Sus scrofa: one gene and its partners. The protein of the gene in region 1 purifies or fractionates together with the protein of each later gene. This does not show direct contact. Links are inferred from orthologs where the notes say so. Each region holds a gene or a part of one and is shown on either strand. Other genes may lie near its edges. The genes, in order: SMURF1, SMAD6 and STK38.

Region 1 (3,648 bases):
AGGCCCAAGGTCACTTCCTAAAGGACCCACTTGTGTTCCAGCAGTTGGAGAGTCTAGAGGGGGCAGCAGGGCTGGGACCGTCCCCCAGAGAGTCCGAGTCCCGGCCCCCAGGACAGATGTCCTGTCTGTGCCGCCGCTCTGCCGGTTTCTGTCTGCAAACCTCGGGGCTCTGTCACCCACACTCGGGGCTCCAGGCAAAGGCCGGACGCAGCTCTGCCGGGGGGCATTCGGGAGACCTACCTGGGTACCCTGGGGTCGTGCCAGGTGCTGACTCCAGTCTGCGTGTGCAGGAAGTACACCTGCCCCTGCACGGTGGTTCTCTGCTCTGCACAAGAAAGCGGGGAGCACCATCAGTTACCCTCAGCGACAAGGAGGGATCCTGTAAGCCGACTCCGCTTCCTTCCAAGAGCCTTTAAAATCACCAGGAAGAGGGCTGGAAGGGCAGCAGCTAACCTGCCGGGCTTCCGGGAGCCGCAGCCCCGCGCCCATGCGTGCGGGCAGCTGACTCCTGTTCACACCCGGAGAGCCGGGCTCTCCTTCCTGGGCCGCATCCCCAGGCCTGCCACCGGGGGACGGACCCCGCCGGGACCTCTGCCACCATTCTGACTCTACACGCGGTCCTCCTTCATTGAGGACCTCCCTCTGCCGCTGTCCAAAGGTCCCGTCTTTTCGCTGCTGCCCAAGGCTGGCCTTCAACCCCCAGGGCACCGCAGACCCCTCGGTCAGCCCCCTTCCCCCCGGTGGCACTGGTCTTTGGTTCACTGGCCTAAAATCCTCGCACAACCGCTCACCTGGGAGGTGGGAGCAACCGGAGTGCGGCCCCGCCGAGCGGGATTTCCCACCGATCCCCGGGGTCTCGTCTTACACGGACACAGCCCCGCGTGGCCCAGCGCCACGAACGTCAGCAGCTCTGACACGCACAGGTTCCTAACACGGGGTTAGGCTGCCGGGCACCCCGGGGGCGGGCCGAGGCCTCTCACCGTAGCCTTCAGGCAGCTCCGGGGACTGGTGGCCGTGCGGTCGGTTCTGCGGCGTCTGCAGGGGCCCTCGGACCTCGGGGTTTCGAAGTCGCTGGGCCTGGACTCTCTGATCTTGACTCGGGGACTCCACAAACCTGCAGTTCCCGCCTCCCGCCGCGGCCCCCGGGCCGTCCGTGTAAGGGGCTGGTTCCTCCATGAAGCAGCTGAGTGGCCTCCCGGGGCCCGAGTCTTCATACACGGTTCTAGAAGGGGGAGGAGCACAGCACGCGTGACGACGCCGGCGGGGACAGGGAAGCGCCCAACGGTGCGTCATGACGCTCGCACACCTGTGTATGTGGCTTTTCTTGAACGATACAGAGCATCCCAACGTGCTTAGTTGCATAAAACTCGGCCCGTCCTATTTAATTGGAAAGAGAGAGGAGGAACCAGGGGCCAAAGGGAGCCACGTGTAAAGTGCCGCCGAGGCCACCTGCGGGATCTCATCCTCGTCTGGAGCTGAAGGGCTGGAAAAGACCAACCGAGTATGCGAAGGAGCTCATAAAACGGGACTTCAATTTGACGCAGAATCAGATCCAAACGTTTCGTTTCCCTTGTCATTTTATTCTAGAAGAGAATTCCTGGTTGTGTAAAATGCTGCATTGACTTTAAAAGCACCCTTTACCCTAAATCTTCATCTTCTGCACCATTCTGAAGACAACTGACCCAGAGAGGCGATTTTCCTCTATAAGCAAGTCCTTTTTTTTCTTTCTTTCTTTTTTTTTTTTTTTTTTTTTGTTGTTGTTGTTGTTGTTGCTATTTCTTGGGCCGCTCCTGCGGCATATGGAGGTTCCCAGGCTAGGGGTCGAATCGGAGCTGTAGCCACCGGCCTACGCCAGAGCCACAGCAATGGGATCCGAGCCGCGTCTGCAACCTACACCACAGCTCACGGCAACGCCGGATCGTTAACCCGCTGAGCAAGGGCAGGGACCGAACCCGCAACCTCATGGTTCCTAGTCGGATTCGTTAACCACTGCGCCACGACGGGAACTCCCCCACTGCAGTTCTAATTCTTTACTGATGCTCTGTGGCCAGTGGGAACCTCTGGAAATTGGATTCTGAGTCTTTGGGGCACGCGTCTCGACAGGGTCCTTTATAATCAAGCCAACTGGACCCCAGTTTTATCCCCACGGCCTTTCCTGCATCCCAGCCTTCGAGCCAGCAGCAAGGTGGGAAGGCCAGTTTCGCGGAGCGAGAGCGCGCGGGCGGCAGGGGGCCCCCCCCTCAGGCCTCGCCGCGGCGGCGGTACGCACCCTTCGTTGTCTAACAGGCCTCTGCAGTCCACCACGGGGCCTCCGGTGCCTAGTCGGTCTCGCGTCTGTAAGCTGACTGAGAAGAAGACAAGGGTTGCGTTAAAATCCAGTGCCACATGATGCGACTGCACACAGTGGGCCAGTGCAAACGCAGAAGTTGTGTACAACCTTACTTTACAAGGCACATGCCTACAGGTACACACACACACAGCCCTATGCTCTCAGGCCTGAAGCAGTTTGCGCGTTAGCTGCACCCCCGGTGCGGCTGGGAGCACTCCTGCAAACGGGGGGCAGAGGGCGCGTCTGCCATGCTCTCGGTCGGAATCACAGATTGTACTCCTCACTTCGTCTAAGCTCCCTCACCTTTTAAGACGATTCTGATTTGCGTCCAATAGGGACACAGAGAGCGCTTTTGGAATCTGCAGCGTCTGGCTGCATCTACACATATGTTCTCGGTCCCCGCCGTGAACGCCTGAGACGCTGATGAAGTCGTGACGCCCCTTCCAGGTATCCGGCCTTCCCCAGCCCGGCCCTCCCCAAAGACAAGAAGAAATGGCCCGCAGAGAGGCCCTGGGTGAGGACTGTGTCGTCAGGGGAGTTTTCAGGACGCTACGCTCTGCTCATTGATCCCGGGTCAGGTCCACCTAAGACAACAGCTACGGGTCTGGGGTCCTAAGTCACTGGCGTGCGGCGGGGATACTCTGTCTTGATGCCTCGCCACGTCTGCGCTGCCCCCAGAACGCTCCTAAAAATGGGGTGGATACGTGCACGAGCGGCTTAGCGGATTCCTTCCTTCCAACAGAACACCTCTGGTCAGCAGTCTGCGACGGAGCCCCTCTCACGTCTTCATTCTAAGCCGCTCAGTCCTGACTCCGTAAAATCACACCGCCTGGAGTCTGCAGACACCGCCTCTGCCTGTTTCATGTTCGGCGGGTCTTCCTCAAGAGCCTCTTTCTCAGCACTTGCGTGTGTGGCCACCGTTTTTATCACCTACCCTTGGGTACCATGACAACTAACTGCCCATCAGCGTGAGGGTTAAAAATGACACTAACAATTATAACCCTCCGTCTTTTTTGTACCTCGGTCACTTTAACTCCACCTTGAATGACAGACTGAAGAGCACCAGGTAACATACTTAAAAAAAACCACACGAGATGAAACGTTTCAGTACTGGACAGAGATGGGCCCCGAGGGTGGTCTGTCCTTTCAGTGTCACCATGGGTCAGTGCCTTAGAGTGTTTCCTCGGTGAGGAAGAGCTGAATGGTACGTTCTGTAAAAGTATCGCTTTATACAGATGAGAAAGTTCTTACCCACTATTTGGCCACGAACTGCATCAGTATCTGAGGGATTTAGTTTGCATAGATCCAGACGCTGGTCT
Region 2 (3,748 bases), on another chromosome or scaffold:
CCCCTTTCCGGGCAAGAGCCCGGCCCTGCTCTGAATGAAAGAAATTCCGCTACTCTCATTGGCCCGGGGCTGGGCGCCATTCCCCAGCGAGGGCAGAGGGGGCGCCTGCGCGCGCGCCTCCCTCGGGGGTTCCCACGTGTGGGGCTGGCCTTGTGAGCGTGCGGTGGTGTGAGTCCCCGAGTGGGCCCGAGTTGTGTGTGCCCTGGGGGAAGGGCGGTGTTTGTAGGAAGGACTCAGAACCTTTTGCCGAACTTCACCTGGAGCCAGGCACTGTTCGCTCCGCACCCTCTGGGAGAGGCGGTTACTCTGGAGAACTGAGGGCAGGACTTAGAATCTTCCCCACCCTCATCCCCTTCTACTTCGGCCTAATGAAAACAGCTGTCTTGACCTCAGTTTCTTGTTTGATAAATGGGGTTGTTGATGCCTGCCCTGCTTTCTTCACAGAACCATGAAGATTCTACAAGACAGTGCATTTTAAGTTCACAAATCGCAAGTAAACAGGGTGAATTTTCACAAGTGAACAAAACACCTGTGTAAGCAACACCTAAAGGACAACTAAAGAATAAAGGATCTTGTACCCCCTTTTCGATCACTTCTTGCCCCTGGGGAAATTAATGTAAGGAGAAACTCAATGTAATGTAGTTTTTTAATAGCTTGTTTTAATTAGGGTATCTGCTGGTTTGACCATGGATTGCAATAACTTGTGTTTACTATGGGCAAGGCCATGTTTCAAGCATTACAAAGATTTTAGTCATTCTCACAACAACACTGATACTCTTATTTCCATTTTATAAATGAGGAAACTGAGGAATAGGAACTTGCTCACTTAATTTGCCATTGAAAAGAAGATAGTCTTGAAAGTACTGAAATGCTAAAACCAGAGAGGTATAAACCATTGTGCACCCTCCCCCAACAGCTAGAAAGTGGGGTGGGTCTGTGTTGCCAGAGCACACCCTTCAGGACAGTGTTTTTCAAAATGTCCACTGGACGTGCTGAATCTGTTGTGGAGTGAGGCCCCAAACTCCATACAACACTTTGGGAGGTAGGCATGGTTGTTAAGCACTAATTTACAGTTAAGGACACTGAGGCACAAAGACCTTAAGTAACTTGCACAAGCCTGTAGTTAGTGGTAGAGGCTGGATTTAAACCCAGCCACTTTGGCTGGGGGGAGGCATAAATGGGTGTGAAGCAAAGGTAAAGGGAGACCAGCAGGCAGATGGGCTACCCTTCAAGTCTTCCTCAAATGCTCAGCCCCTAACCCTGGAGGCAAATCTGTGAGCTGTGGCTCTTTCCCCCTTACCCCCATACCTCCCTGAGGTACCAGCTCACCCCTTTCTGCAGGATTCCTTCAGGGATGCCAGGTCTGTGCTTGGAGCCTCAGGCCAAGGAGCAACTAAAGTAGTAACCTTCCAAGGGAGGGCTACCTTCTCCCTGGGTGGTAATTCAGACAGAGTTTGCCTTCTGCTCCTGCTCAACCCAGAGATGTGCCAGTGGGGTGGGGCGCCTTTAGGTCCCAGCTGGATGATGCCTGGTAGGCCTGAGTCCAGTACTGACCCTACTTAACTTCCCTCAGCTCTATTAGCCTCAGGGCTCTCATTTGTAAACTGGGAATAGGAATCATGCTATAGGTGGTTACCAAAATTAAACAACATGAGGTCCCAGAGTCATCCCTCATTCTAGAAAGACTGTGTCACGGTGGAGATAGGATCAGAAAGGGATACTAAAAGGATGGTGGCAGTCCCACTGTCCTTGGATTTCTAGGGCCCATCCAGCCTACTGCCTGACTTGTGACCACTAGAGGGTGTGTGTCGCAGTGCCCAGAGGGCATGCTTCGGAGCCTCAGCCTACAGGCATCCTCCTAGATCACCCTTCTGGAGAACAAGCTCCAATTCCCTGGGGTGCAGGAGAGGAGATAAGTGAGGTCCCAGTTGCTGCTCCACAGGTCTCTGCAGCCAGGTTACTCACAAAATAATGAAGAGGTAACCCCTCAGATTCAAATCTGCCCCCTCCCCATCATTCTAGTATTCCCCTCAGAGAACCCTGTGTTTTCTCACAATTCGTAAACCTTGCAATCCTCTGCCTCTGGAATGTAAGCCCCCTGTGGCTAAATAAGCTGAAATGCCAGGCACAGGCCACTCACAGCCCCATTGAGCGAAACAGGACACTTGATGCCACTCTGCACTATCAGAGAAGCTAATGTACACAAGAGAGGGCCTGTCCCATTTCGTCTCCCTAGTCCCTAGCATAACTCCTATCACATAAGGGCACTTAATGTTTGTGATATGCTGGAATTAAAATTGTTTTCTTTGCCAAGTTCCATGCTGTTCATCATCCTGTACCAAACACCTATATGCACTATCTCATCAAATCCTCCCAACAACATGAAGAAGTTCTTATTCTTATAGGATCCATTTTTAAAAAAGAAGGAAACAGAGAGATTAAATAACAAGTGGCAGATATGGGACTTGAACCCAGGGCTGCTTGAGTGTCCATTTTCTTAATATCTGGTCCCAGAAAAACACGATCTTTTGCTTTGGGATGTTTCCACATTAGCTGGGAAGACACAAGGCATGAAATGGCAGAAATCATTCAAGACAGAGCTTGCTTCTCAACGGTTGGAAGAGGCAGGCTCTAGGAGTCACTGCATATGAATGGAGGTATCATAGAGGGTGTCTGGGCCACCTCTTGCTATGTAGAGATGGAAGGGCAGGGAGACTGATTCAACCCAGCCCACTTCACAGAAAACTAATGGATAAAACAATGCTTCACTTATTAACTCTCAGGAGAACACTATAGGCCCAACTGGCTATGTGATGTCTGCATCTCTAGAAGGTCAATCTACTTGGCCAACATGGTCCAGAATGGGGGAGCTGTTGCCCCCTTTGGTGGTAGACAACACTTCTGAGACTTTGATGAGTACCCTGGACCTTCTTTCTTGAAAAATGCACATGTGGGAGTTCCCGTCGTGGCGCAGTGGTTAACGAATCCGACTAGGAACCATGAGGTTGCGGGTTCGGTCCCTGCCCTTGCTCAGTGGGTTAACGATCCGGCGTTGCCGTGAGCTGTGGTGTAGGTTGCAGACGTGGCTCGGATCCTGCGTTGCTGTGGCTCTGGTGTAGGCCGGGGGCTACAGCTCCGATTCGACCCCTAACCTGGGAACCTCCATATGCCGTGGGAGCGGCCCAAGAAATAGCAAAAAAAAAAAAAAAAAAAATGCACATGTGCTTGAATGAAACTTCGTATTCATTTATTGGACACCAACTCATCAAACTCCTATTGGGTCCCAGGCCATGTTCCAGGTGCTAGGGATCCTGCAGTGAGCAAAACAAAAATCCCTGAGCTCAAGGAACCTAGTGGAAGGACAGACAGACCATAAACAAAATAATCAGGTATCCAGCATCTTGGAAGATAAAGTTGCCAAGATCAAAAATAAAACAGAGAAGAGGAGACAGGAATGCTAGGAGAGGGTGAGTGTGGTTCAGAGAAAGTGGTCATGGAATGCTGTTCTGGGAAGGTGACATTTGAGCAAGATCTTGATGATGAAGGGAACCTCTCTGACACTGGGGGAAGAATGTTCCAGGCTCAGAGAACATCAAGTACAAGGGTCCTGAGCATGTTCCAAGACCATCAAAGAGGTGATAAGATGAGAGAAAAACTGGGGTGGGGGTGGGGGTGGGGGGGTCACACAGGCCATAGATGTGTCTTTGGCTTGTCCTCTGAGCTGGGAGACCCTGGAAGCCAGGAGAGG
Region 3 (3,648 bases), on another chromosome or scaffold:
CACAGCTTCTGTTAAAGGTTATTTTTCACTCTGCATATTTTCTGCATTTGCATGCCTATGTTTTTTCACCTTCATATTTTTCCACAATATTTTAAAAGTTTTATTTTCCCATTTCTGTCATTTCAGGTTACCTAACCTTAAATTTAATAAATAACCACAAAAGAGAAAATCTTTGTGATTCACCACCTGGTTGAGCAGTCTAAACGTGGTGTCTGTACTCACTTGTCATTCAACACCATCTCACTGCCGGCCAGTATTAACACTAGAAAAATACTTACAAAGTTCCTCTCTATGCTCTCTACCCTGATTTGTAAACATCACCCCAAAGTTCGGGGAAAGTGATGCACTTATAAGCAGCAGGAAGCAGTGGCAGTATATTACCTGTTGGCTTAAGAATATCAGATTCTGGAAACTCATCGAAATTTGAGGTATCATCAATGCTTTTGATTTCAATAGATATTGCAGCAGGTCTCTCTCTGCCAAGAACAGACATGCCAAAATTACTACAATTTGTAATCACATGGATCACAACTAACAGACCCCTGGTCTGACATGGGAGGACTTTCCATGCAGGCAGCATTTATTTTCTCTGAAAAGCTTATGACCACTGACCAACCACGGCAGCTGATTATATCCAAACAAAATCATGATGAAAAATACAAGTAATTATTCATAGCTAGGAAGAAAGACCAGAAAAATATGGAGAAAAGAAATTAAAATCCAAAGTTAGTGCACTCCCCCAACAGCCTGCCCTGTCCGCTGAAAGGGAAACGGAACCTCTCAGTGTCCCTTCATGTAGGGCAGAAGTGCCAAAAAGCAGAGTGGCTAAAAATGCACAAGGATGGCAAAGGTAAAAACCTCAAGCATGCAAACAAGAGCGCTATGAAAAAGATGACAACTTTGCCTTCTGTTTGGTCTGGGTGGTATGGGGGTAGCCCTCTACAACCACCCCCCTTGACAATTTCAGACCCCCTCACCACCACCCAACCTGTCCTTCTTCAGTCCTTTTTCCTTCTCTATCTCCCAGTGACAGAGCCTACCCTATGGGCAAGGTGGGCCATGTTCTGGGTAGGTGGTCCTCCGCTGTGGAATCCAAAACATGACACTAGAGGTGGACATGTTCTGGGGAACAGCAAACGCAACTGTGGAATCCAAAGCTGCCTTCACTTGGGAAAGACGGCTGGCTTCACCGTATCCTGTGGCACACAGCCCACAGGAAGCTCTGACTCCCAATCCTCACAGTGAATGAACCGGAGTTTCTAAGAGGCTCTCTTCCCATCCTCGGCTTGCCAGTAAGGGTACTTCTGAATTAGCATTAAACAAACTATACGCTTTCTGAAATTATCCTAAAAGCTTTTATATGGATATACCTGATATGTTCCCAGTCAACACCTTCAAAAAAAGGATTACTTTTGATTTCCTCAACTCCAGGGGCTCCAATTCTATGTTCCCATTCACAGCAGAATCTGGAAAAGACAGGCCTTTCAGCGTTACCTCAAGTAGTCGCTTCAAAAAAGAAAGAAATGGGAGGAAGCAGGGGGCAGATCCAGGCAACAATGAAAAATTTTAAAAAATGGATTCACTGTGTCAAAAAAAGACAGGGCAGGGGGCAGGGGAAATGTTCTCTGATACCTCAAAATTAGATCCTTGGCTTTCTCAGAAATAGGAACTTCTGGAGGAAAAGTCAAAGTTTCTTTCCAGTTCATCACCTTCTTATACGTCTCTTGAGGGGTCTCAGAACAGAAAGGTGGGTAGCCTGTAATAAAAAAGGAACTTCACAGCTTTTACATCCCAGAACTTTGAATCTGACTGAGATTATTCTCCTTAATACAATTTTCTATCTCTTTAATGCTCCTCTATGCTCTTCCCCACATGACAGGGCCAGGATTTCTACTCATCCCAGAAAATATCTAAACTCATTTTTCTTTTTTCCCCAAACTCCTAAACCCAAAGTCAAGTTGTGCTTCTGGTACCTTTAGGGAGCCAGCTAGCAGCTGGAGCCAGCAAGGACATAATAGGTTGCAGATGGACTCACTGTGCCCAAAGAATGAAACATCATTAAGCAACAACCCCATCCTAGGAACATCCTTATACAGGCAGAGGGCCCAACCAGTTGAATAAGAAAAAAGCATCACTTTTAAAAGTGACCACCATCCTCTCTTTGAGAACTTAGAGGCGAGAGGAGAGTCATTCCCCCTGCGCTGCACACAGACCACATTGGCCAGCACGGGCATCCTCCCTGTGCTCACAAAGATGCACGGCCAGACATGCCACACGGGTCACACACACGTGCTCTGCTAGCATTTGGGCATGAGGCTGCCCCCACAGACATGCCCCCTAAACACAGACACTCCACCCAAACAGGAGGGGAGAGGTCAGAGGGCTCCATGCCTTGAAGGCTTTGAAAGAGAGGAGACAGCAAATAAGAAGAGTGCCTGAGACACTGCCCAGTCAAGACTCTCTGTATACAGTGGGTGTTCAAAAAACGCCGGGGAGTGAAAGAGCTGCTAGATGGAGGATGAAAAAGTAGAAGAAAAACATGATGAATGATCAGCAAAGCAACCACAGGGGGTCAGGGGGCCAGAAGACAGATGAGTCAGTTGATGGCCCAGTGTTCCACCTAGGAAACTCCACTTTGCAAGACGGGGAGGGGAGGGCTCACTTAGATGACCAACTGAAACAGTCTATTACCAACACTGGACTCTTTCCCTGCTGCACAGGAAGTCCTCTGAGAGCACGCACTTACCGATGAGCATCTCATACATGATCACCCCAAGCGACCACCAGTCACAGAGCTTGTTGTACCCGGTCTGCATGAACACCTCGGGAGCAATGTAGTCAGGAGTGCCTACCGTGGAGAAGGCCTGAAACACGTACCACACGTCAGGGAGGCCCAGCAGGTGGGAGGGTGCCCAGAGTTCTCTTCTAGAGACCAAAGGCTACGAGCACCACCTAGAGCAGCAGAGCCCAGTTTGGGAATTAACTATATCTTGTTCCAAACCATTCCTCTTTCTACTGCATGTATTTTTTAATTTGGAAAATCATAAAGGGAAACTATTACCAAAAGACAAAGTTATAACCTATTAGTCAAAGGTTTATAAATGTCTAATTACCAAACTGAAACATTTAAATAAATAGTTCTTAGAGGAGTATTTTCTAAATTCGAGTAATCGCTCACATACCAGGAAGTACTAGTACTGCAATACTAGGAAGTATAGTCAAAGCCTTCCTGTGCTCAGCATCTGAGGGCTTATTACATAGAAGGCTCTAATCTAAGGCTTTCCATGTTACATAACTTTCAAAATCAAAAGCTACAGCTGTGTTGACTTTTTAAAATATTTATTATGAAACACTGCAAACATACAGGAAAAAAAGGCACAATCAATACCCATTATCTGTATTAAAGAGAAGTTAATATCTGCAATATTTGTCTCAGGACATTTGTCTTGTTAAAAGAAATGAAAGTATAGAATCCCTTCCTTCCCAATGAAGTCATAACTACTCTGATGTTGCTGTGCTATGCTTATATGGATAAATGAAGTATTATTTCTTGTATATTTCAACTTTTAATAAAGGGTTGCATACTGTACTGCATTATTCTGCAATGCTACAACTTGCTGTTTTTATTTCACATTATGATTTTGAGAT

The links.
Region 2: the proteins of SMURF1 (region 1) and SMAD6 purify together in Homo sapiens (affinity purification with western blotting; 4 studies listed by BioGRID). This does not show direct contact. The link is inferred for Sus scrofa from reciprocal best matches to the Homo sapiens genes SMURF1 and SMAD6.
Region 3: the proteins of SMURF1 (region 1) and STK38 purify together in Homo sapiens (affinity purification with western blotting; 3 studies listed by BioGRID, with this or other methods). This does not show direct contact. The link is inferred for Sus scrofa from reciprocal best matches to the Homo sapiens genes SMURF1 and STK38.

The regions. Positions count from the first base shown.
Region 1 is NC_010445.4:6,054,243-6,057,890, forward strand, and holds part of SMURF1 (E3 ubiquitin-protein ligase SMURF1), read right to left. Parts: intron 3,647-3,648; coding exon 3,581-3,646; intron 2,346-3,580; coding exon 2,270-2,345; intron 1,223-2,269; coding exon 981-1,222; intron 326-980; coding exon 241-325; intron 1-240. UniProt on the Homo sapiens protein: E3 ubiquitin-protein ligase that acts as a negative regulator of BMP signaling pathway. Mediates ubiquitination and degradation of SMAD1 and SMAD5, 2 receptor-regulated SMADs specific for the BMP pathway.
Region 2 is NC_010443.5:164,651,162-164,654,909, reverse strand, and holds the start of SMAD6 (mothers against decapentaplegic homolog 6), read right to left. Parts: upstream 2,309-3,748; 5' UTR 1-2,308. UniProt on the Homo sapiens protein: Transforming growth factor-beta superfamily receptors signaling occurs through the Smad family of intracellular mediators. SMAD6 is an inhibitory Smad (i-Smad) that negatively regulates signaling downstream of type I transforming growth factor-beta.
Region 3 is NC_010449.5:32,208,639-32,212,286, forward strand, and holds part of STK38 (serine/threonine-protein kinase 38), read right to left. Parts: intron 2,865-3,648; coding exon 2,747-2,864; intron 1,757-2,746; coding exon 1,633-1,756; intron 1,467-1,632; coding exon 1,371-1,466; intron 477-1,370; coding exon 382-476; intron 1-381. UniProt on the Homo sapiens protein: Serine/threonine-protein kinase that acts as a negative regulator of MAP3K1/2 signaling. Converts MAP3K2 from its phosphorylated form to its non-phosphorylated form and inhibits autophosphorylation of MAP3K2.